Caenorhabditis elegans: one gene and its partners. The protein of the gene in region 2 purifies or fractionates together with the protein of the main gene of each other region. This does not show direct contact. Each region holds a gene or a part of one and is shown on either strand. Other genes may lie near its edges.

Region 1 (6,142 bases), on a different chromosome or scaffold from region 2:
GATGTGGTCAATAAATTTCAGTTACTTGGTACCTCGCTCGGTTGCTTGAAAAAGAAAAAAGTTGCGAATCAAACTGGAATTTTCATAACTAATCAGAACACATCTTTTTGATGATAAACTTATAAATACTGAGTCTGAACTTTTTTTAAAATTTTGTTTAAAATGAATTTAATAGATTTTAATTTGATCCTTTGACAAGATTTTCTTTCGTTCTGTTTTTTTTTCGCAGCATTGGAAATAGCAATGCTCTGGTTTTGAAGAAAATCTTTTTTTTTCGGAATTCGGAATACCATACATTTTCATTGGCAGCTCAAATAAAACTGGAATTTCCGTCAAATTCTGAACGATGAGTATCAATTTTTTGTGTTTATGATATTGTTCAGACATGAAAGAGTAAATTTTTAAAGTTGTCAGATATTAATTTTTGAACTCATGAAAACTGAATAAATCTCCCAATAAAAAAATGTGGTCATTTATATGCCTGAAGGTCAGTTTTTTGATTGAACTCTAATAGTAAGCTTCTGGCACCTAGAAAAATTTTGCAATAAAATTATGAAAGCGCTTAAAATTTGAAACAAACCCCCGGAGAAACATTTTCAAAAAAGTTAATTTTAAGTCAGCTATTAATTTTTAAACTTATGAAAACTGAGTGTTTGGTGTTGAAAAACTCATTTTTTTAGAATTTGAAATAAATGTTCATTGGCAGCTGAACTGGGAAATTCCGTGATGGTTTTGATACTATTTATGTATATGAAACAATTAGTTCATGAATAATTTTTTTGAAAATGTTCAGTATATTAACTAAAAATAAAGCACACACGAGCGTTATAATAAATAAGTTTTGCTAGATTTGTTAGATTCCAAAAAAGTAATGCCATATTTTGTACGAAACTGTGATTTTTGTTTCTGGGTGTTAGAAAACACCTGTCGAAACTTCAATATAAAATACTCCTTAAAAGCTCAGGTGAAACTTAAAAGTCTTATTGATCCCATTCTACTTTTTGATTCAAAAATGATGTTTATGGAAAGTCCGGATTTCTTATTTTATTCTCTACATGGAATGGGAGCTGTCACTTGCCCTCTCCAAATACTCGGTCTTTATTGCATTCTATTCAAAACACCACAAACAATGAATTCTGTCAAATGGGTACTTTTGAATTCTCATATTTGGTCCCTTATCTTCGATATAACAGTTACTGCACTAACCATCACATTTCTAGTTTTTCCAGTTCTCGGAACAGTTCCACTAGGTTTTCTAACGACATTATTCGGAGTTCCAATTGATATTCAGGCATATTTGGTGTTCACACTTCTATTCAGTATGACGCCACTCATTTTCAAACTCCACTTTTTAATCAAATTAATCTCAACTTTCAGCGGTCTTGTTCTCAGACATGCTGATCTTCGAAAATCGCTACTATCAATTATTTGCAAAAAACAAAAGTTGGCGGCACTTTCGCGTTCCATTCATTATCATTAATTATGGTGCCGTTGGAATTTTCATGCTTCCGACGTTTTTGAATACTCCTGATCAGTTACAAGCTATTGATTTAGCTTTCAAGGTGACCGTTTATTTGTAGTAGTAGCTGAACTAGGCTTTCTATATATGCTCCGACGAGGCGCTTCCGCCTGCCTTCGAGTTCCATCATCGGCTTTACGCCGTCACTAACGCCACCAGTTAGAACAAACTTAAAACTTTCTAGGTGAGAGATAGCTGACAATGTGCCGGGTAAATTTGGCATATGTTTATGTTAAGTTATCATAATTGAAATAAGTATAAACATGCATTTTAGCCAAATTATGAACAGTATATTTCAGCAAGTTCCGAACCTTCCCGTTGAACTCAGATCCATGAACTTTTTCATATGGGCAACAGATTTCAAACTTTTTCTGGGATCTTTCATCTTCATCACAGCATTTCAACTTACGGAATTTGTTCCTTTGATTTTAATAACTGATTGGAATGTGAGATCGTCAATCAAGAAATCAACGCAGTCACGGCAAACAATGCAACTTCAGTTGAAGTTCTTAATGGCTTTATATGCACAGGTGAGCCAAAAAAAAAACTCTCACCAAAGTTGAAATAATAAATTCAGAGCGGGGCATTTTTCTTGACTTGTTTTACTCCATACGTATATATGTTGTATTCTTGTTTCACAAACTACTACAATCCCATTGCCAACAATTTTATTTTCATTTTTGTGGCAGCACGTGGATCGTTCTGCACGGTAATTCTGCTCTCGGCATATAAGCCTTATAAGAAAGCAGTAGTCAATATCTTCCGGTTAATTAGCTCCTCGATCGGTTGTTTCAAAACTCAGCCAATTGTGAATCCAATAGGAATAATTATATCTAATCAAAATACTTCTTTGTTTTGATATATTGTATTCTAAAAAGCTAGCAAAAAAATGTTGCCAGTATACATTGTACCACTATAAATCACATTGAAAATCTACATGAAAACATTTTTCCGGTCCAGCCTAATTTTCAGTTTGAATTGTGGCTCATGAAACTTCTAATATGTTAATTTGTTATCAATTGATTCAATATTACACACAGACACGACAGTTGTCTTCAATAAACGTTTTAATTTTCTTCTTTTTTTTCACATAGCCCAACTGACCTTCTTGAACTTTGTTCAGCCAATTTTTTTTCATTACAAGCAGGCTTAGAGAGAGAGACAGATATTTCTTCTTCAACGAGTGATGTTTCTGACTTGTGATTTGTTACCTTCATCAGTAAACGGGCGACATAGTGTACGCCTAATCTTTTTTTTTAATATAAAAATATATATTTGAATTCATTTGTTATAAACTATTAAAAAATGTTTTATAGAATCGTTTTTAAAAAATACCATAAAATTTATAAAAACTTAATACAATTCAATTTTTTAGGTGATTCTGGTGCTACTAGCCATGATTTTGTTGATACTTCTGAGCTCTTTGATCATGGGAGCAAGTACAGGTGAGAGTTTTGAAAAATGTGCCTGCAACTGACATACAACCTTTTTTCAGGAAAAACTGGAATAACTTGCGCCAATGTTAGATGTGGAAGCCCTGGAGGCTGTGGAATGGTTGCTAGTTGCCCGGACTGTGAGCCAGGACCAGAGTGCTTGGAAAAGAATGGTAAGCGGTTCGGAGAAAAAAAACGTATTTTAAATTCAAAAATTTCAGATTGCAATACCAAAAGCTGTGCTCCAACAGAGGAATGTGTATTGGTCCAAGTAACCTGTATTATGGCGCCATGGTGGGAATTTTTTAAACGAAACTATTTTTAGTGATTTTTAAAAATGACCGGTAAGATGTCGGCTGCGAGGGATAAAATAACAAATTCTCCATTTTTTAAAACTAATTTTCAAATGATCCGAAAATCAATGAGTTTTAGCTACCCAATCGCTGAATGTCGTCCGAAAAAAACACAAATCCGCAAGCGTCGTCAAGTGGGAACAAGTTGTAAAGATGTTCGATGTGACACGCCAGCCGGATGTGCGATGGTTAGGCCAAGTGGATGTATGGATTCGCCTACAATGACCGGATGCGAGCTTAAACCGACTTGTATTCATGTAAATGGTGAGTGCTTGGAAGATTTCAGCTGCTGCACTTAATAAGTCGGTCGCAACTTCTTAGGTGCCAGCTTCTACCCTCAATGTGTCGGTGGCGTATTTCTGAATTTCCAGCTTGTACAACCACAAAATGTTCACCCGGCAAGAAGTGTGCTCTTCACACTGTTCAATGCTTTACCACACCCTGGTAGGTACTTTTTTTTAAAATTGTTTTTATTGTTCATGTTCCAGTGACCCAGTAGCAAAATGCGAGACTCCACTTAACTTTTTATCGGAGCCATTCAATCCAGGATGCGGTCCGAATGAGCATTTTGTTGGGTGCAAAAATATTTGCTCTGACACCAAGTGCAATGAAAAACGGGTACGTGGATCAATGAAAAATTCGAGAAAAACAATTTTTGCAGAAAATGTGCCCAGCGGTGTGCACTTTTCCCGGATGCGTCTGTCTGAATGGATTTTTCCGCGATAAACATGACAAATGTGTTACCCAGGAAGAGTGTGATGAGCAGAAGAGGAAAAGTATTAAATCGTAACTAGAAAGAACTTTTTTATTTCCAAATATTTTGCTGAAACTATAATAAACTGCCCAATTTTTTCTAAAGTTGCCAAATGGATTTTCAGATGTTGTTTTCTGTAAACCTTCAAGGCTCAAGTAATCATTGTGTTTGACTTTGCCAGTTTCGTTAAGAAAATGCCATAAAAGAGGACGATTTTGAACGTATAAACTCCAATGTGCTCAAATTGGCGAATTTTGAATTGAGACTTCTCAATATTTTTTAAAAATGATCTAATGGCCGAGTCTATACGTTCAAATTTCCTCCGAACCATTAGTCCTCCTATAATTCCAGGATTCCAAAAACGGTACGTGATCTTGAAACATTATGATTTCTGTTTCTCGGTGCACGGAAACATCTGTCGCAATACTTTAACCACCAAAACGAGGTACGCCTCTGAAGCTCAGGTGAAATTCAACTCAAGTTGTATGAAAATTAATCTCCTTCATATTATATTGAAAAATTATGTTTATGGAAAGCCCGGACTTTCTTTTCTATACTCTACACAGTATGGGCGCTTTTACGTGACCTCTTCAAGTATTTGGACTTTATTGTATTCTATTCAAAACTCCACAAGCAATGAAATCGGTAAAATGGGTTCTATTCAATGCTCATATTTGGTCTATCCTATTTGATATATCACTTACTGCATTAACCATTCCATTTCTAGTGTTCCCAGTTCTCGGAGCAGTCCCTTTAGGCTTTTTAACGACATTATTCGGAGTTCCAATTGGCATTCAGGCGTATTTGGTGTTTACACTTTTATTCGGTATGACATTAATTATGTTTAATTCAATGTTAGTGTTCAAAAATGTACAGTTTTGAAAGTTGAAAATATGTTTTTGTCTATTTTCAGCTGTGTTGTACTCCGATCTGTTGATCTTCGAAAACCGTTATTACCAGTTTTTTGGCAAAAATAAGGCTTGGCGTCACTTTCGAATACCGATGATGATTTTCAATTACACCTTCGTTGGAACGTTTATGCTACCCACGTTTTTGAATACTCCTGATCAGTTACAAGCAATTGACTTAGCATTCAAGGTTATTGTTTTTATTTTAAAATATGTCTTAAAGGTGGAGTAGCGTCAGTGGGGATTTTGTCTAAATGCACTTATAATGATCCAAAACAATTGACTATCATAATAAAAAACTGAAAAAATTTTAGATTTTCCATAATTTCCGGTTAAAGTTTTGGCAAATTGACAAAATTTTGGAAAATACGAGTTTTTGAGGAAATTTTAAGAAATGCCGCATGTTTCGACAACTACAATGTTTTAATACAAATAATTTAAACAAAATAAAAACATAAAAACTGTCGAAAATTTTTTTTTGGTCAACTTCCAAAATTATGAGTGGCAAAAACTGAGTAATTGCCACTTTTTGACAGTAAATAAAAAATTTTCAAAATTTTTTGAAAAGTTTTATCATGATATTTGGTCATTTTGGGACCAATGAAGTGGGTTTTAACAATTTCCCCACTGGCGCTACTCAACCTTTAACAAACTATTGCAACTTTACCCGTAAAGATTTTTTACCACTAAATTTTAGTACAAAAGTGGCAGACACAAAACTGTAAGTAGTCTGAATTTCAGAAAGTTCCAAATCTTCCAGTCAAAATTCGTTCCATGGATTTTTTCATCTGGGCGACAGATTATCCATTATTTCTGGGATCTTTTGTTTTTATCACCGTTTTAGGACTTGCTGAACTTATTCCCATGATTATGATAACTGATTGGAATGTGAGAACATCAATGAAGAAATCTACACAGTCACGGCAAACAATGCAGCTTCAGTTGAAATTTTTATTGGCTCTTTATGCACAGGTATTCTTATCCTAGTATGGATGAACATATTGTTTAAAAATGTTTAGAGCGGCGCATTTTTCCTGACTTGTCTCATTCCCTACGTATACATACTGTATTCTTGCTTTACAAGTTATTACAACCCCATTGCAAACAACTTCATATTCATTTTTGTGGCATCGCGTGGATGTGTTTGCACAATAATTCTGCTCTCTGCAAATAAA
Region 2 (8,852 bases):
GAATTCCCTGCAAAATGATAAGCCACGCCCACAAACGAAAAATCGTCTTCGAACTACGTTCATTCCGTCGATTATTGGTCTTGCAACTCACACTTTGGAGCAAATTCAAAACACTTACTAAAACTTAAAGAAAAACGTTTTGAAAGTAGAATTTCAACTTTTTCACTTAATATTTACTTTTCATTTGTGGTTTTTCGGAATTTCAGACTTACAGGCGCAATTTTGCTTTTGTTGCTCTAATATATGGTACCCGGTCTCGACGTGACAATTTTTTGTTAATTACAAGCATGTGTGTGCCTTTAAAGAGTACTGTACTTTAGAAATTTCGTTGTTGTTGAATTTTCATCGATTTTTCTCACAATTTGTGTTGAAATGTATGTGTTTTTAATTGTTTTTTAAAATTTTGTTATTAATAAATAAATATATTTTTATCGAAAACTAGGAAAAATCGATGAAAATTTTGCAGCAATGAGTTCTTAATTACAGTACTCTTTAAAGGCGCACACGTTGTTGTATTTAATAACATTGTCGTGTCGAGACCGGGTACCGTATTTCTGGTGCAAAAATCGCAATATTTCGCGTCTGTGGTGATGAAGCAAAATCTATTTTTTACAATTTTCAGAATTGATTTAATTTTTCTTACTTTTGCCCGTTTCGAATGTGGTGCAGTATCAGGTGTCTTCTGAATAGGCATCATTGGTACTGAAACTATGTCTTCGTCAGTGAAACATGCTGATATAGCAATGGTAGCCATATGAGAACTAGATCTTTTGGATCTTTGTGGAGTTGTTGAAAGGTTTGAAGATCCAGATGATGATGATGAAGAGGCAACTGTTTCAAGGCTTAACTTGCGTTTTTCACTCGAAAAAATATCTGTGGACTCTGAAATAATATTTAAATTTCAAAAAAAGCTCTTTAACTACGAAGATACAAACCTTTACGCTTTCTTTGAGCTTTTTCTGTGCTCTGTGGTGGTTTCATCAGTCCATTTTCCTTTTTGGAAGGTGTTGGACTTTTTGATGTTGTCATATCGGATGAAACAGGCGATTGAGCATGTTTCTCATCTGACATCTCTTCAACTTTTAAATCTTGTTCATCGATTAACTTCGGAGAGAATGATGATGTTGACTCAACGACAGCTGGAAAAATAAACCGTGTTTTTTCTTCAATAAATATTTTTTATCAAGTTTTTATGAGTATATTTACTTTTCTTGGACTCTCTGTTAAAATTTCGAACATTCTTCTTATATTGCGCTCATAATTTTTTTTTAAATGTTAATGAAGAGAGCTATTTGCAGTAGACTATCTAAGCAATTTAATTGTTAATTTTTAATTTTTAGTGCCTTCGCTTATCTATTTTGTTTTTAATAGCCTGAATTTCCATTTCCCTAGAGGATCTCTCGAAAGTTTTGAAATTATTTGAGCAGCTACGGTAGATGCGACTTTCGTGCATTTACGCGTGGCGGTGTTCACACTGATCCCAAAAATTTTTGTTTGAAATAAATTGCTTTTTTTTCGCAATCTTTCATTCTTATTCATTGCTTTTCCGTTTACCATTTTCATACCATTTTCATCTGTTTTTTCCACTTTTAAAAATTCTTCTCGCATTTTATCAGTAGGCTCGGATATTTGTTCGTCTTTGACAAGATCTTCTGGTTTTTCATCAATTTCTAGTTGTATTTCTTCATCAATTTCCATTGGTTCAATATCATCATTCTCATCATCCTCATCTAACTCGCCGTCTTCTTTTCCAGAAGTTTCCGCTTGATCGTGAGCTAAATGCAATAATTTTCAAGATTTACGAGAAATATTTTTTTTTTCTTAAAAAAAATTTCAAACGAAATTTCAAAAAATTATTTAGAAGTTTTTGTTAATCATTGAAACAAATAACGTACCGTCATAAGTTGTTTGAAATTCGGGGGTTTCCTGCAACGGTGGAGGAAGAGGTGGGGGCGCTGAAATCGATGGTTTGTCTTCCGAATCGGACGGACTTTCATCGATCTGTAGACGACCCTCGTCCTCATCGTCTGACATGTTGCTGAAAATTTGAAAATTAAAATTTTACAAAAGATTTAATTAAAGCAATAATCAAATTTTTAAAATACAATTTGAAATGAGAGAAATTTTAAAAATAATAGATATAGTTTTGAAGGTTTTGATACTTGAAAAACGTTATCCTTATTTGGTAGCTTATGAAAACAAAACAAAAACAACTGCAAGATGTGTTTCGGATGTTTTTTCTTCATTCTCTCAATTGTCTGACATCTCCGGAGGCAGTTGCTGTGCCCTCTATTGGTACGTGTCGATTGCCTGCGTCTCTGTGTCAAGAGGCACCCTCTCATCTCTCTGGAGACGGCAGAGAAACATGAGATCGTGGTAAGACCATCAGGGAGGACGGCGGCAAATCGGAGGGAACGCGCGAAATGAGCGCGCGATTTGAATCTAGAGACCATATGACGGAGGTTGTCTGTAGTTGACCTTTTTCGGTTTTATCTGAACTTTCACAGATTGATTGCGTAATGTCCACTAGACATTCGTTATGGTATAATTGATATTTCTTTATTAATTTTCATTAAATATCAGATATCAATCTCTAAATTTCAAGCATAGAAAGTATCGTGCAAACATGAACAGTTTCATGAGCTCAGTTTATATTTTAAATTCACACCTAATTCAAATCTTAAATAATTTTTAATGGAATAACTGCAAATCTAAATCTAAAACCAAAACGACCTTCATTCACTTGTACCAAATCTTATCTGATTTTATGAATTTAAAATCTTATTCTTCTTCACCTCTGACTGATAGTTTATGTTCTCCCTATTGTGTACACTCAAAACTGCACAACATTTGTTATTTGAGCCAGTTTCAGTCGTTATCTTCCTATTTATTTGTTTTTGAATATTTTGAATAGCTCGACTTGATATTTTCAGGGAAATTTGATCAAAATGGCTGGAAGAAAGTCATCAAGGACGGCTGAACGTGTCCCCACTACACAAAAGCCAGAAAGAAAATCTGCTATTTTGTAAGTTGAATTTAGATGGATATTAGAGAACTGATAATTTTTAGACTTTATAAATATTTATTCATCTTTCGAAAAATTTTAATTTTCAGATCTCCACATGACGAACTGCGTGAACGTCTTCTGGAGACTGCAATTGATATGAAGGAAAATATTCCACAACGAAATACCCGAAATTCGAGCGTTGGAAGTCAGAAATCAGATTGTTCTGAGACAAGAAAACGACGAAGTACTAAGGTTTGTGTGCTTATCAGTGAACATTTTAAGATGGAACAAGGGAAATGAAATAGAGAGTGATAAGAAAAGTACTTTTTTAAATTATAATATTACTACTTGTACAAATGCCTAAAGAGATTTTTGCTTCTAATTTTTCGAAAACCGTAAGAAAAACTGTCAAACGATTGCGGATTGTTACTAAGCTGAATGGGGGTAAGGAATACATTTTAATTTGCCAACAAAATTAGCAAATATTTCTAGATTTAAACACATTTTGCTATATTTTCAGTTTTGAATTTAACTTATTTAGGTAACAGCATTCATCCAGAAACACAATGTCTAACAAATTAATTGAATTTCGTGGGTAACTAACTAACAGTCAAACGCTCAATATTGAGTAGTCTGGGTTCTACAGGAAACATCTCTCGTTAAATAATTTGCAAACAAAGTTTGCACTGAGAAACAGACACTTTGTATTTGACCAGTGTAATAGTGCGCCAAAATGTACTCATTCTCCCGTTTTCTTTTTTCTTCTCTCATCTCATGTTCACACCAGCACCTCAGATTTGCGAGAAAATAAGACGCAGACATCGATAGTCATAGTGACCAGTCTCTTTCGTATGCAGAACACAGTTTTGTGTCCGCTTTGTATGTCCAATACTTGTTTGCCGTCTGAGTCTCACTGTTCATCTGGGGGTATAGCTCAGTGGCAGAGCATTCGACTGCAGATCGAGAGGTCCCTGGTTCAACTCCGGGTGCCCCCTAAATACTTTTTGCATTTTGGCTTCTGCTTAGAATCATGACGATCAAATAAGTTTCCTAAATTTGAACAAAATTATATAGTGGTTCAATCTTGTTTGATAATTTATTAATTTTACAGGAAGGTCCAGCTGCAAAACGTCATTCGGGCGAGAAGCATCGAAATGGTAGCCGCGAAGATTCTTTGGAGTATATTAGTGGTAATCTAGTTTTATTAGAGTAAAAATGATATTCTGTTTGAAGAATATTCAGATGATCGTGAAGTTGGATCTTCATCATCACAATCATCAAGAACCCGTGGACAACCACTTCCAGCTATGCCTGAGGAAGAAGAAGTGTTTGATAAATCATCTTCATCTGATAATCTTGCCGAATCTGAAGAAAGTCATGAGATGGTCCGATTGGAAGAGAGACAGGATATTGAAGAAGAAATTGAGGATGATTTTGATGATGAAGAGGAGGATGTTGTTAACGATAAAGAGGAGTACGAAGAAATTGAATCTGAAGATGAAGATGGTTAGTTTCAAAAATACTCATGATGCGTTTGAAATTATTAGCATTTTAGATCAAAATTTGATAAAAAATAGTGTCTCCAAAGAGAGTATCAGTGTTTCAAGCTGAAAAACCTACCCAATTTTGATACAATTTAGATTATCCTGTCCAAAACGAAGGATTTGCCGTTACAAAACGGCTCATGAACGACGAACATATGGTTACGGCTCCAACGTTTCTCAGCACAGCAAAATGCGATGGAATAGGATCACCAACAAAAGTTTGGTCTCTTATGGTCAAACGAGACGAAATTCCACGTGCTACACGATTCTTGCTTGGAAATCATCCGGATATGGATGATGAAAAGCGACGTATTTTAATTGATTGGATGATGGAAGTGTGTGAATCAGAAAAATTGCACCGAGAAACATTTCATTTGGCTGTTGATTATGTTGATAGATATTTAGAGTCATCAAATGTTGAATGTTCAACGGATAATTTTCAATTGGTCGGGACGGCTGCTCTATTTATAGCTGCTAAATACGAGGTAACAATCAGGGGTTTCACTGACACATTTTTCGTTTTTTTTTTTTAGCAAAACCGAAAAAAATTCTAAAACACTTCAAAATCGATAGTTCTCAAACGGAATTAAATATTTATATTACGATTTACACCCTTTTTCAAAAATCCAAAAAAACCGGCAAGCCTGGTAATAATTTTAATAAAATATTTCACCGATCTAGAATTTGGGTTCAATTAATTTTTTCACAGTATAGATTCACATTAATTTTTGTTTTTTTTTTCAGGAAATTTATCCACCTAAGTGCATCGATTTTGCTCATCTCACCGATAGTGCATTCACCTGTGATAATATTCGAACTATGGAAGTTCTTATCGTCAAGTATATTGGGTGGAGTCTTGGGCCAATCACAAGTATTCAATGGCTCTCAACATATCTTCAATTACTCGGAACCGGCAAAGTAGGATTTTAAATTTTTTGTTGATTAAAATATTTTTTCAGAAGAACAAGTCTGATCACTACGAAGAGCAAAACATGTACGTGCCAGAATTACTCCGTTCAGAATATCTTGAAATGTGTAAAATTCTCGATTTTCTGCTATTTGAGATCGACTCATTTACTTTCTCCTATCGTACCATCGCTGCTGCTGTTCTTTTTGTCAACTATGAGCCAACTTGTGCTGTTGAGAAGGCTACCGGATTTATGCAGGCTCAACTTGAAAAAGTTATTGAATATGTTGAACCGGTGTGCCGGGCGTTCGCCAAACAACGACAACTTCTTGACGATGTTATTCCAAAACATGAATCAATAAAATCGGATGATTCACACAATATTCAAGTATACGTTAAAAGGAGTTCAATGGAACCTATTGTGGTAGGTGGATATATAAAATTCATGAATTAGAGGTTGTTTTCATAATTTTTATTTTTCCAGAAAAGCGAACGAGAGAGGATTCAGCATTTAAAAGCTCGCCGTCTTCATCCGCAACGACTTTTCTAAAATAACCCGCAATAGGATTCTTTTATCATCGAAATTTCTGTAGATTACTTACTTCAAATAATCATGCACACAGGTTGTCCCCGTTAATTCTTTCCTTCAATCTCTTTCTCTCTTTCACCTAGTCTGTGCCATTTCAATATGATTGCACCCCGGAAAATATCAAAAACTTCACTTAACAAGTGATCCCATATTACAAAAATATTCAAATTCCGAAAATCGAAAGATGCATTTCCGTTTTATTTTACCGAATTTTGATGTTTTTGTAATGTGTTTAAACCCCTTTTACAATTAACTTATTAATGTTTTGTTTTACTCATCTCACTTCCCCTTCTTACTTTGTGCTTATTTTATGTTTTAGGTTTTTTTATTGTATCATAAAACTGGAAATTTTGAAATAGGCTTCTTTCTCCCTAAACTTTTTTAACAGGTACTGTAACTGGTACATATCCTCTGCCCCACCCCGCTCCCAACTCGTCTTTGTCTGTTTGTTTATACGAAATACAATTTTTAACGAGTATGCGGGTTTCTGTTAGCTTCAACAATACGATCATTCAAATTTTAAAATTAAGAAACTATAAAAGCACAGTATTTACGTGAGTTGAAACAAAATGCCTTCTCCAAATTTCTTAACACTGAAAAATTTTCGGAAAAAAAGCAGAAATTACTCCGCAAAAAATTAAGGACATCATTCCAATATTTTTTTTTACTTATTTGATGAAAAATTAATATATTCCAATAAATTAAAATGAATTATCATCTCAGGAATACTGTAGAATTACTTTAAGATTTTGGCTTATTTATATTAAGTGGTACGGTAGGGGTACTGTAGGTGTATTGCAGAGTTGTAGACACTGTAAATGAAATTCCAAAGAGCATAAAATTTATCAAAAAAAAGTTTGCGTGAATTTCTAATTAATGTTTAATCTTCTTTTTTTGTTAAAATTTGTTCAGGGTTTCTTATCAAAAAATGAATCATTATTTAGTTTCTTGGCTAAAACACTACTCATCTTCGTAGTTTCTTGCCGTGATGTTTCAAGCTTTGTTAAGTAAGTTTGAGTGAATTTCTGGTTTTGGTGGAATTTATTCTGATATCGAAAGCTCTATGTCTATTCAATCAATTGATGAAAATGCGTAAATAGGGAACTATGCACACACGGCGGCTCAGACTGATGAAGCTTTTCTAGTTTTGGAGAATGAGGTCTAATTGAGCAAATTTTCAGCAAAACTCAAAAATAATGCGGCTTTGGGAGCAGCTGCAAATAACTTGAACAAGTTCAGAAGTTCGAATCTTGGTAATCAGAGACGTTCTGTCTCAGTTGCTGTGACATCAACATCTCCGAAATCGGAAAAGCCAGTAGCCAGGGAACATATGATTTATGATGAAACTCATTTTGTCATGCAGAAGAGTTTGGGAAAACTTATCGAAGAAAAAATCAATCCAAATGTGGCAAAATGGGAACAAGACGGGCGGTATCCAGCACATTTGGTATTCAAAATGCTTGGAGATCATGGTGTTTTTGGTGTTAATAAACCAGAAGGTAATACGCTTTTTTTAGCTAACTTGTTTTATTAATTAGTTATCCATGCAATATTATTATTTGATTGGACTTTTCAAAACGAAAAAGTGTTACCACAAAAAACCAAAAGCGTAGATTTCAGAACTTGGAAGAATAACTTCCAGGTTACAATTAGAATATCAGAACACCAACTTTTTGGGTTCTAAAAATGTCAAGAGCCTGTAAAACTACATCATTCTAAAATGTTAAAAAGATAGTACTGGTGGGAGGAAAACCTTAAAGATACAAAAAACTGCAAGAATAATAGAATTAATACGGTGTGTTATTTCTCATTTTTACCAACGATTTTTAGCATTTGGTGGAACTGGAACGGATATTGCAATGGCAACAGCAATTGCTGAGCAGATGGGAGCAATTAATTGTGGATCAATTCCAATGTCAGTTATGGTTCAGACTGATATGAGTACACCTGCACTTGCACAGTTTGGTGAGTATTTCCGTTTACCACCAAAATTAGAAATAATTGAATATTAGGTTCTGATGCTCTTCGCGAAAGATTCCTTCGTCCATCAATCACTGGAGATCTTGTCAGTTCATTGGCTGTATCTGAACCACATGCTGGATCCGATGTATCAGCTGTGCACACACACGCACGTCGTCAAGGATCTGACTTGATAATCAATGGTTCGAAAATGTGGATTACAAATGGTGGTCAGGCGGATTGGGCGTGTGTTCTTGTGAACACATCAAATACATCGAATGTTCATAAGAATAAATCGTTGGTTTGTGTTCCATTGGATGCTGTTGGAGTTCATAGATCAACTCCACTGGATAAGTTGGGAATGAGAAGTTCGGATACTGTTCAGTTATTTTTTGAAGATGTTCGCGTGAGTTTTGAGACACAAAAAACAATTATTTCGTTTTCAACAATGATAATTTCAAAATACCAACAAAAAAGTTCACCACGAGTTTTGAATATTAGTTTTTCGTTGATTATTTGTGCTTGAACATTCTTGCATCAATTCAGGACCTTTACCTAGTTGCGTGATTACAGTACACATATTTTCACTTTTTAAAAGCAATAGTAAGAAATTTATTTCAATTTTAAACTAAAATCCTGCAGGTCCCTTCATCTTACATAATTGGAGAAGAAGGTCGTGGATTTGGATATCAAATGAAACAATTCAATGATGAACGTCTTGTAACTGTTGCTGTTGGCCTTCTTCCACTTCAAAAATGTATTGATGAGACAATTGAATATGCAAGGGATCGATTGCTTTTCGGAAAGACTCTTCTTGATCAACAATACATTCAATTCCAATTGGCT
Region 3 (7,396 bases), on a different chromosome or scaffold from region 2:
AATAAATGCCAGTATCCAAATACCAACTCCAAAGAATGTAACAGTTTCAGAGTCGAAAAATTTACTGAATCTGGGATTTATAATGCACACGAATCGATTGGCAGCCATTAAAAATGTCATAATATATCGAATTGTGTTGACTGTCCACATTTGAAGAGTCATAAATAAAACACAGACTGATTCGAGAAAATGAAGAGATGATTCATCTTCTGCTTCAAGAACATACTCGACCGAAAAATGTTGGCAGAAGTTCAGAACCAGTTCAACCCAGATCATATGAGTTATGTAACCTTTAGTTTTTATTACTGAAGAAATAACATATACATACATAGTTAACATTTTTGATCAAATTATTAAAAATTTATATAGTTTTGCTGCAGTACAAGAGCAGAACATATATATCTAAAACTTGGTTTCTTTAATGAAGAACAAAAATCACAGTATTCTATTAATTTTTCTATTTTTTAATCAAATTTCCAATATCGTACTGTCGGTAAATGCATTAAATAAAACAATGAATTACCTTTACTATTTTTAGCCACTACATATAAAAGAATAATATTGAAGGAATAACTGAATAAATGAGTGGCATATGTCAATATCTTAATCCAATCCATGAATTCTTTAAGAACTTGATTTTCAATTAGAAAATGCTCAGAAGAGCTCACTCTGATCAGAGTAGTTTTTGACTGAAATGACCTGAAAGTGCAATTCTTCATTTACATTGTATCCTCATGCTGCCTATAAATAATACAATAATTGTTGTCAAAATTATAAAACTGGAGCTTGCAGCTATCGGCTACATAACATTTGAAACTATCATTCAGATGAAGAGGCGTATTTTCGAAAAGGAAAGAGCAAATGCACATTTTTATATGCTTTGGGTAGATGAAGTCTTTTTTTCTTTTTTCAAGACATGATGAGTTTTTTGCAGCTTTTGTTAACGGAATAATTGAATGTTACTAGGAAAAATATTCAATCCAAAAGGAAACATTGGCTGCGAGCCTCTATCAAAAATCTCGAGGAACTGAATATTAATAGAAATTATGTAACGTAACTTTACTAACTGAAACATCAAAAATGTTTGAAACCCCTGGAAACAGTATTCTACAACATTTCATTTGAGGCTTCTGTGGCAAGTCAGCTTACCTGTTTATTGAATGCGTCTGACAATTGAGCTGTGTGAGCTCTACATTTTGGTGTGCACATTTTCTATATGTTTTCTCTTTAATAATATTGTTTCAATTTCAAATAATAACCCAAAAAAATTAAGTTCAAGTGAGCTCTGGCAGTAGGCACGACGCAGGCATAGGCTGGCTTAAAAGCAGTTCATGACCCATTTTGTGTATCCTTACTTTTAACCTATCAGTAGTATTTAAAGCGTACTAGATTAAATGTGATAAAAAACTTAGCGGATTTTTCACGTAAACTTATAATGTTCTTAAAAGGATATCTGTTCATTTTTATTTGAAAGCTTTTTAAAAATGCCAAAAGTTGCTTTTATTCTAATAATTAGCTATTTATTATTTTATAATAGTACATCGGTAAGTATTTTCCATCAAATTAGAAATCAAAATAAGTTTTCTCAGAAAACACTAGAGGACCTGAACTCGAAGTATTATGATTTTCAAGAATCCGACACAGATGTGAATTCTTTGGAACAACGAAAACTTATATCTTTTTTAAATTTCATGAAAGATAATGATCGAGAATTACTTATTAGTCGTATTAGAATTGATGGTAGGAATGAGTGAGAATGCTACTAATAAGAACTATGTTTAGAAGAAGACAATTCGCTGTCCAAATTTTTAGTGGATGCCTGGGAACTTGGCCATAATTTCCAGGTAAATGTGCAATACTTATCTTTATTATAACAGAAAACAATTAGTTTGAAACATTCTACAATCCAATTTACGTGTTATGTCGTTGTAATACTACAAATACACTTCACAGAAGGGAAGGAGTTGTCCTGGAAGTGGTGGCTAAAAACGAAAAATCTGATAAATTTGAACGTCATAAGTGGATCGCCATTTTTCTTTCCGTGAGATTGTCGTGAATATTCGATAACTATTTGATATTCTATTTCAGGAAAAAGAAACAGGATACTATCTAGAATACGTGGAACATCTTGGTTCGATTAAATTAGAAAATGTGAATTCGGAATTTGAATCCGTGTTTATTATTAATTCTATTTATGAATGTCCGAGTCATAAGCAGTTTTCAATGAATACAAAAAACTCAGGTGTGTTCTTATTTTGTAATTTACTTTACACAAAATACGAACGAACTGTCAGACTGTCATATATTGCGGAATTTCCGTTTAAGATGATTAACTAAATCTTTGAAAATTAAATGAATAGAATACAAATTAGAAAAAAATGAAAACAAGCTCGGCAATGATAGAAATTAGGCTTGATGACTAGGATTTCAAAACCTTCCTCAAATATTTAAATTTTCAGGCAAATTCCAAAACCGAGATAATATTATTTCAAAACACATTGAACACGAGTGGACCGAAAGAGAATACGAAGTATGAATAGAACGTGTTTCGAATTCTCATCTAGTTACTTTTACTATTATACCTGATTTTATTTTCACACGACATTTTTCATAATATTTGAAGAGAATAGAATAAATATCTTGTTTTGATTTTCTGATATACAAATGATATTAATTATTAATGCAACGAAACTACATTGATGAATGAAATATCTATCATTTCAGTTTTGTACATGAGAATATGTATTCCCAGAAGGCAGATAACGTTAGCCTTCCTATAAGGTTACCTGCCAAAGGGCACTTTTAAGAATCTGTTATCTCTCATTCAAATCGTGACGTGTATTATCAATTTGCAAGGCATAAACTAAAGAGGCTCGAAAACGCGATAAGACTATCCTAGAAAATTAGCGTGGCTTATAAAAGTGGAGTGTCGACAGTTGTTCAAAACCACTTCATGGTATTTACTAAAATAACATAAAAACATGTTTAAACGTTTCAAAAACATTTTTGGTTTTTTTTAAATACACAGTCAACAGTTTTTGCAAGAGTACACGTCCCGTAAAATCCCCACTATCAATTTTATATTCTACAAAATTAAGGAAACTTTCGTCTTTTGTAGTTCATATAAGTTTATTCTATTTTTCATCTCCAATCACACAAATCACATCATATTAACTTATTTTCTTTCTCTTTGTCTCGTTCTGATTTGTACATTCCAATTACAATGTCATTCGTTATTCTTAGTCTTCTTCTTCTTCGGTTAATGATCGAACTTGGTGGGCAGGGCACACAAATAGAATGCTTCTCTTTTCTTTCTTCTATTTTTTTTTTCGTTTCAATTCTCAAGAACTAATGGACAAACGAAGACGGTAAAATGATTCAACGAAAATGTGTTTTGGCATTGATTTTTATTTTTTGTGTTCGTGAATCTGAACAGAGGTTAGTTTTTTGTTTTGCTTTTCGTTTGATTATGTTTTCAATTTTTTATTTCGAGAACACGAAATTCTGTGAATGTGTATTGCGTAATATATCTCGTTGCGAAAACTACAGTAATTCTTTAAATGGCTACTGTAACGCTCATGTTACGAGTTCAATTTTAAAAAATTTTTGAAATAAATCATTACTCTCAATAGAATATGGGAAATCATGCAAAAAATGAGAAAATAATACGAAGAAACTATTTATGGACAATGGAATATCGATGTCCCTTTTCGAAAAGAAATTCATTACACAAATCGAGCCCATAATTTGACAAAAGCGTTATTTATGGTACAGTTTTGAAGAAGTACTGTAGTTTTCGCTATGGGATATTGTCAAATATGTTGCGCAATACGCATTTTCCGATTTTTGCGTTCCCATAAAAGTTTTAAAAATCGATAAATTAATAACGTTTAATTTATTGAGTATTTCTTGATAATAAAACAGTAAAAATATAATTGTTATGTGTCTTGTTACTCAATACCATCAGTGGTAAATGAGACTTTCAAATCTGGCAAATAGGTTTTTTTCGGAGAAAAAATTGGTTCAATGAGGTAACCAACACTTTTTAGTTCAGTATACAATTAATTCCCTCATTTATAAGTAATGATGTATTTTTTGGAAATCGTAGCGATATCAGAAACACAAACTGAAGTGTGTATTGAAAGTAACATTTTTACGAATACCGTATATCTTCTATTAATATGGCCTCCCTATTAGACTTGCACTCCCTATTAGTATTGCCCCTCGGAGACCTTCCGAAAATTAGTATGGCACTCCCTATTAGTCTTGCACTCCCTAATAGCCTTGCGTTTACTATTTTTTATTGCAGGCCCGTCTTGTTAACTTCAGGATTTCAACAAAAAAATTTGCCTATTTTGCAACAGTTTTTCACAACATTTCTACGAGATTGAAGTTTTTGAACTTATATGTTACAATTAAAGTCAAATTTTCTGAATTTTTACATAAGATTCGAGCTTTTTCAGAAAAAAAACTAGTAAGCTCAAAGTCAGAAAAATGTTCTGAAAATTAGTATTGCACTCCCTAATAGTCTTGCACTCCCTATTAGTATTGCAAGCGGGAAGTCCATCGAAAAATAGTATTGCAGCCATATTAATAGAAGAAACACGGTATATGATAAGCATTTTCTAAATTCCGTAGCGACTGAAACTTTGAAAAATTGCTAACAAATCATCATTTACTATATATAAAGCGCGTATTCCGTTTGTCCATAGTTTGTAGTCTATGTAGTCTTTGTAGTCTGCGAAGTTTTAGCTTCTGGAGGGATAGTGAGTTGGGGTTAGTGTAGGGATATAGTCGGGGTACTGTAGTGGTACAATGGTGGTACGGTAGGAGTACTGTATGATTACGGCAGTTTCAGAAAAATTGGTTTTCAGCTCCAGAAGTCGGGGGCCGCGCCGGAGGTGCGGTCCACGGCTGGTAAATAATATAAAAACAAAACATTATCAAAGTCCCAATAAATAATTTCAGAGGACCACCAGGTATTCCTTCGCCAGCCAATCCTACACCTTCAAATCCGGTAACCGCTGCTCCAATTAGACGGCAACCAACTGTAATACAAACAACATGGGCTCCACAGATACAGCAACCCCAGCAGCAGCTAGAGTCTCCACAGAATAATTGGGATCAACAACAGCAGTCAACAGATGAAGAATGGCGTCCTGATTGGAGAGACAGAGGACCTCCACCACCAGATTTTGATGGTTGGCATCATCATCATCACCATCGTCCACCTTGGATGCGGGGCCCTTGGTGGCGACGCCCGCCACCACCTTGGGGACCGCCTCCACCAGGGCCGCCTCCTCCATTCGGATGGAGAGGACTTTGAGAAATGTATACACATGATATCATTGTTCATAAACCATTGGTCATACACCGATATTCACACCAAGAATTAACAATAAAATGAATAACCAGAGAGATTGAGTTTTAAATTGATGAAAGTGATAAATTAAATTAAAAATGAGATTGAAAATTTGAGATTTGAGAACGGAAAAGAAGCCAACAGAAAACCATGAAAGCAATAAATTATACTGGTGGGAAATTGCACATAAAACCAGTTGATTCGAAGCCGGTATAGATGAACAAATTGCGAAGTGGATTCTTTCCTTCCGAAATTGATTTAATAGCTTCTTGTCCAATTACTCCACCGACACATGCTGCTGTTGGTCCAAAGTTTGGTCCGAACAAACTGAAAAATTACAATTTTGAAAATATTGCAAGTTTTTGCAATGGCAGCAGAACAAGAGTTTCGATTTTTGGACGTAACATTAAAATGGCATTATTGTAATTTCACAAGATTTTTACATACATTCTTAAAGGCGCACGGAGTTCTTTTAGATGGGTCTCAGCGCACAACAAAGTTAATGGTAGCTTTTCTTATCTTTGCGGCGGCTTCATTACATTTTTCAATGAACATATTAGGTCTCCAAATAAGTTCCGGGTCAAAAATCATAACTTTGTTCGCTGCGAATCGATTTTTATGAAACTGTGGGAATTTATGTTATCAACCATGATCTTTCATTTGGCAATAGTCACAAAATTTTTTGGCCGTCCGAAGTGCCCTAACTCGGAGCCAATTTTTTCAGGCATTTTTCAGATCTCGCTTCTTTTCAGGTTTCAATTGAGGTTTGTGTGCGGATTTTGCTTAGTTTAATACACAATGTAAGAAAACAAGAAAAGTTTGGAAAAAAATCCCTCCAAAAAAAAAATTTTTGTCGAAAATTTTTGCTTTTTTATACAAAAATGATGTAACCATGTGTAAACTATTTTTACACATACAAAACATTTCAATTTAGTGCGTCACACTGAAATAATAACAGAAAACACAGCTTTTTCGAATTTTTGGATTATTTCTCGAGATCCAAATATCATACTCAAATGTTTTGTATGTGTAAAAATAGTTTACACATGGTTACATCATTTTTGTATAAAAAAGCAAAAATTTTCGACAAAAATTTTTTTTTTGGAGGGATTTTTTTCCAAACTTTTCTTGTTTTCTTACATTGTGTATTAAACTAAGCAAAATCCGCACACAAACCTCAATTGAAACCTGAAAAGAAGCGAGATCTGAAAAATGCCTGAAAAAATTGGCTCCGAGTTAGGGCACTTCGGACGGCCAAAAAAAATTTGTGACTATTTGCAAATGAAAGATCATGGTTGATAACATAAATTCCCACAGTTTCATAAAAATCGATTCGCAGCGAACAAAGTTATGATTTTTGACCCGGAACTTATTTGGAGACCTAATATTTAGTAAATTTTTTTTTGCTTTAAATTTCATGAAAAACAGTTGATTTGTGCGTTAAAAACAAAATGACAAAATTCGTTAAAAATGAAGTAGTTTCATTGAAAAGTGCGAGAAAAAAATTGGAAGCAGACGCGAAAATTTGAAAAAAAAAACTACCATAAACCTTTTTTGCATATTTTTTGTTTTTTGATCAGAGCCCTGATCGAGACACATGAATAAGTCCGTGCGTCTTTAAGACGGAATGCTACCGTTTTTTGAAATTACGATACATTTTTAACTTGTTTTTTTAAATAATTAAAAAGATAATACATTCTATGTTTTTTATTGATTCATTTTATAATTTTCGTGCGAATAATACTCACTGATCAAATCGATCGGGTTGAACTGGTTGCATATCGATGGTATGATTTCCAGCGGCCACCTCCTCGTTCCAGATTGGAATTAATTTCTCAATATCGTTTTCAGTGACTCCGGTAAGTTTATTTTCGCTGGAAGCGCGGAGCATACTTTTCACGAGGAAATATGATGTTGGAACGATCCGTTTGCACTTTCTCACAATTTTCTTCGCCGTGAAATCAGAGTTGAGCGTTTCGACAAATGATGGATATGAAAACGTTTCAAGCACGAATTCTTCATCTACCGTAACCA

The links. The genes of interacting proteins can lie anywhere in the genome.
Region 1: the proteins of cye-1 (region 2) and T06E6.10 fractionate together in Caenorhabditis elegans (co-fractionation; one large-scale study listed by BioGRID). This does not show direct contact.
Region 3: the proteins of cye-1 (region 2) and C08B6.10 fractionate together in Caenorhabditis elegans (co-fractionation; one large-scale study listed by BioGRID). This does not show direct contact.

What each region holds. Positions count from the first base shown.
Region 1 is NC_003283.11:15,415,239-15,421,380, forward strand, and holds T06E6.10 (TIL domain-containing protein), read left to right. Parts: upstream 1-2,883; 5' UTR 2,884-2,915; coding exon 2,916-2,964; intron 2,965-3,014; coding exon 3,015-3,125; intron 3,126-3,173; coding exon 3,174-3,246; intron 3,247-3,384; coding exon 3,385-3,569; intron 3,570-3,676; coding exon 3,677-3,749; intron 3,750-3,793; coding exon 3,794-3,923; intron 3,924-3,966; coding exon 3,967-4,095; 3' UTR 4,096-4,163; downstream 4,164-6,142. Other genes in the region: srh-264 (Serpentine Receptor, class H), read left to right, coding at 1-111; srh-265 (Serpentine Receptor, class H), read left to right, coding at 1,013-1,319, 1,378-1,562, 1,819-2,049, 2,097-2,378.
Region 2 is NC_003279.8:6,777,873-6,786,724, forward strand, and holds cye-1 (G1/S-specific cyclin-E), read left to right. Parts: upstream 1-2,933; 5' UTR 2,934-2,948; coding exon 2,949-3,025; intron 3,026-3,114; coding exon 3,115-3,259; intron 3,260-3,930; exon of another isoform or gene 3,931-4,002; intron 4,003-4,118; coding exon 4,119-4,197; intron 4,198-4,240; coding exon 4,241-4,513; intron 4,514-4,647; coding exon 4,648-5,036; intron 5,037-5,295; coding exon 5,296-5,469; intron 5,470-5,510; coding exon 5,511-5,882; intron 5,883-5,942; coding exon 5,943-6,008; 3' UTR 6,009-6,524; downstream 6,525-8,852. Other genes in the region: pqn-21 (C2H2-type domain-containing protein), read right to left, coding at 644-882, 936-1,139, 1,566-1,775, 1,896-2,034; acdh-5 (medium-chain acyl-CoA dehydrogenase), read left to right, coding at 7,036-7,054, 7,229-7,546, 7,878-8,012, 8,060-8,412, 8,649-8,852. UniProt on the Caenorhabditis elegans protein: Essential for the control of the cell cycle at the G1/S (start) transition. In association with cdk-2, regulates proliferation, quiescent state and cell fate during the development of several cell lineages.
Region 3 is NC_003283.11:10,122,154-10,129,549, forward strand, and holds C08B6.10 (Proline-rich proteoglycan 2-like), read left to right. Parts: upstream 1-3,344; 5' UTR 3,345-3,373; coding exon 3,374-3,438; intron 3,439-4,968; coding exon 4,969-5,326; 3' UTR 5,327-5,417; downstream 5,418-7,396. Other genes in the region: srxa-19 (G_PROTEIN_RECEP_F1_2 domain-containing protein), read right to left, coding at 1-305, 524-617; C08B6.6 (uncharacterized protein), read left to right, coding at 1,485-1,544, 1,590-1,740, 1,783-1,844, 1,889-2,041, 2,089-2,242, 2,460-2,536; SUMO-activating enzyme subunit aos-1, read right to left, coding at 5,527-5,689, 7,111-7,396.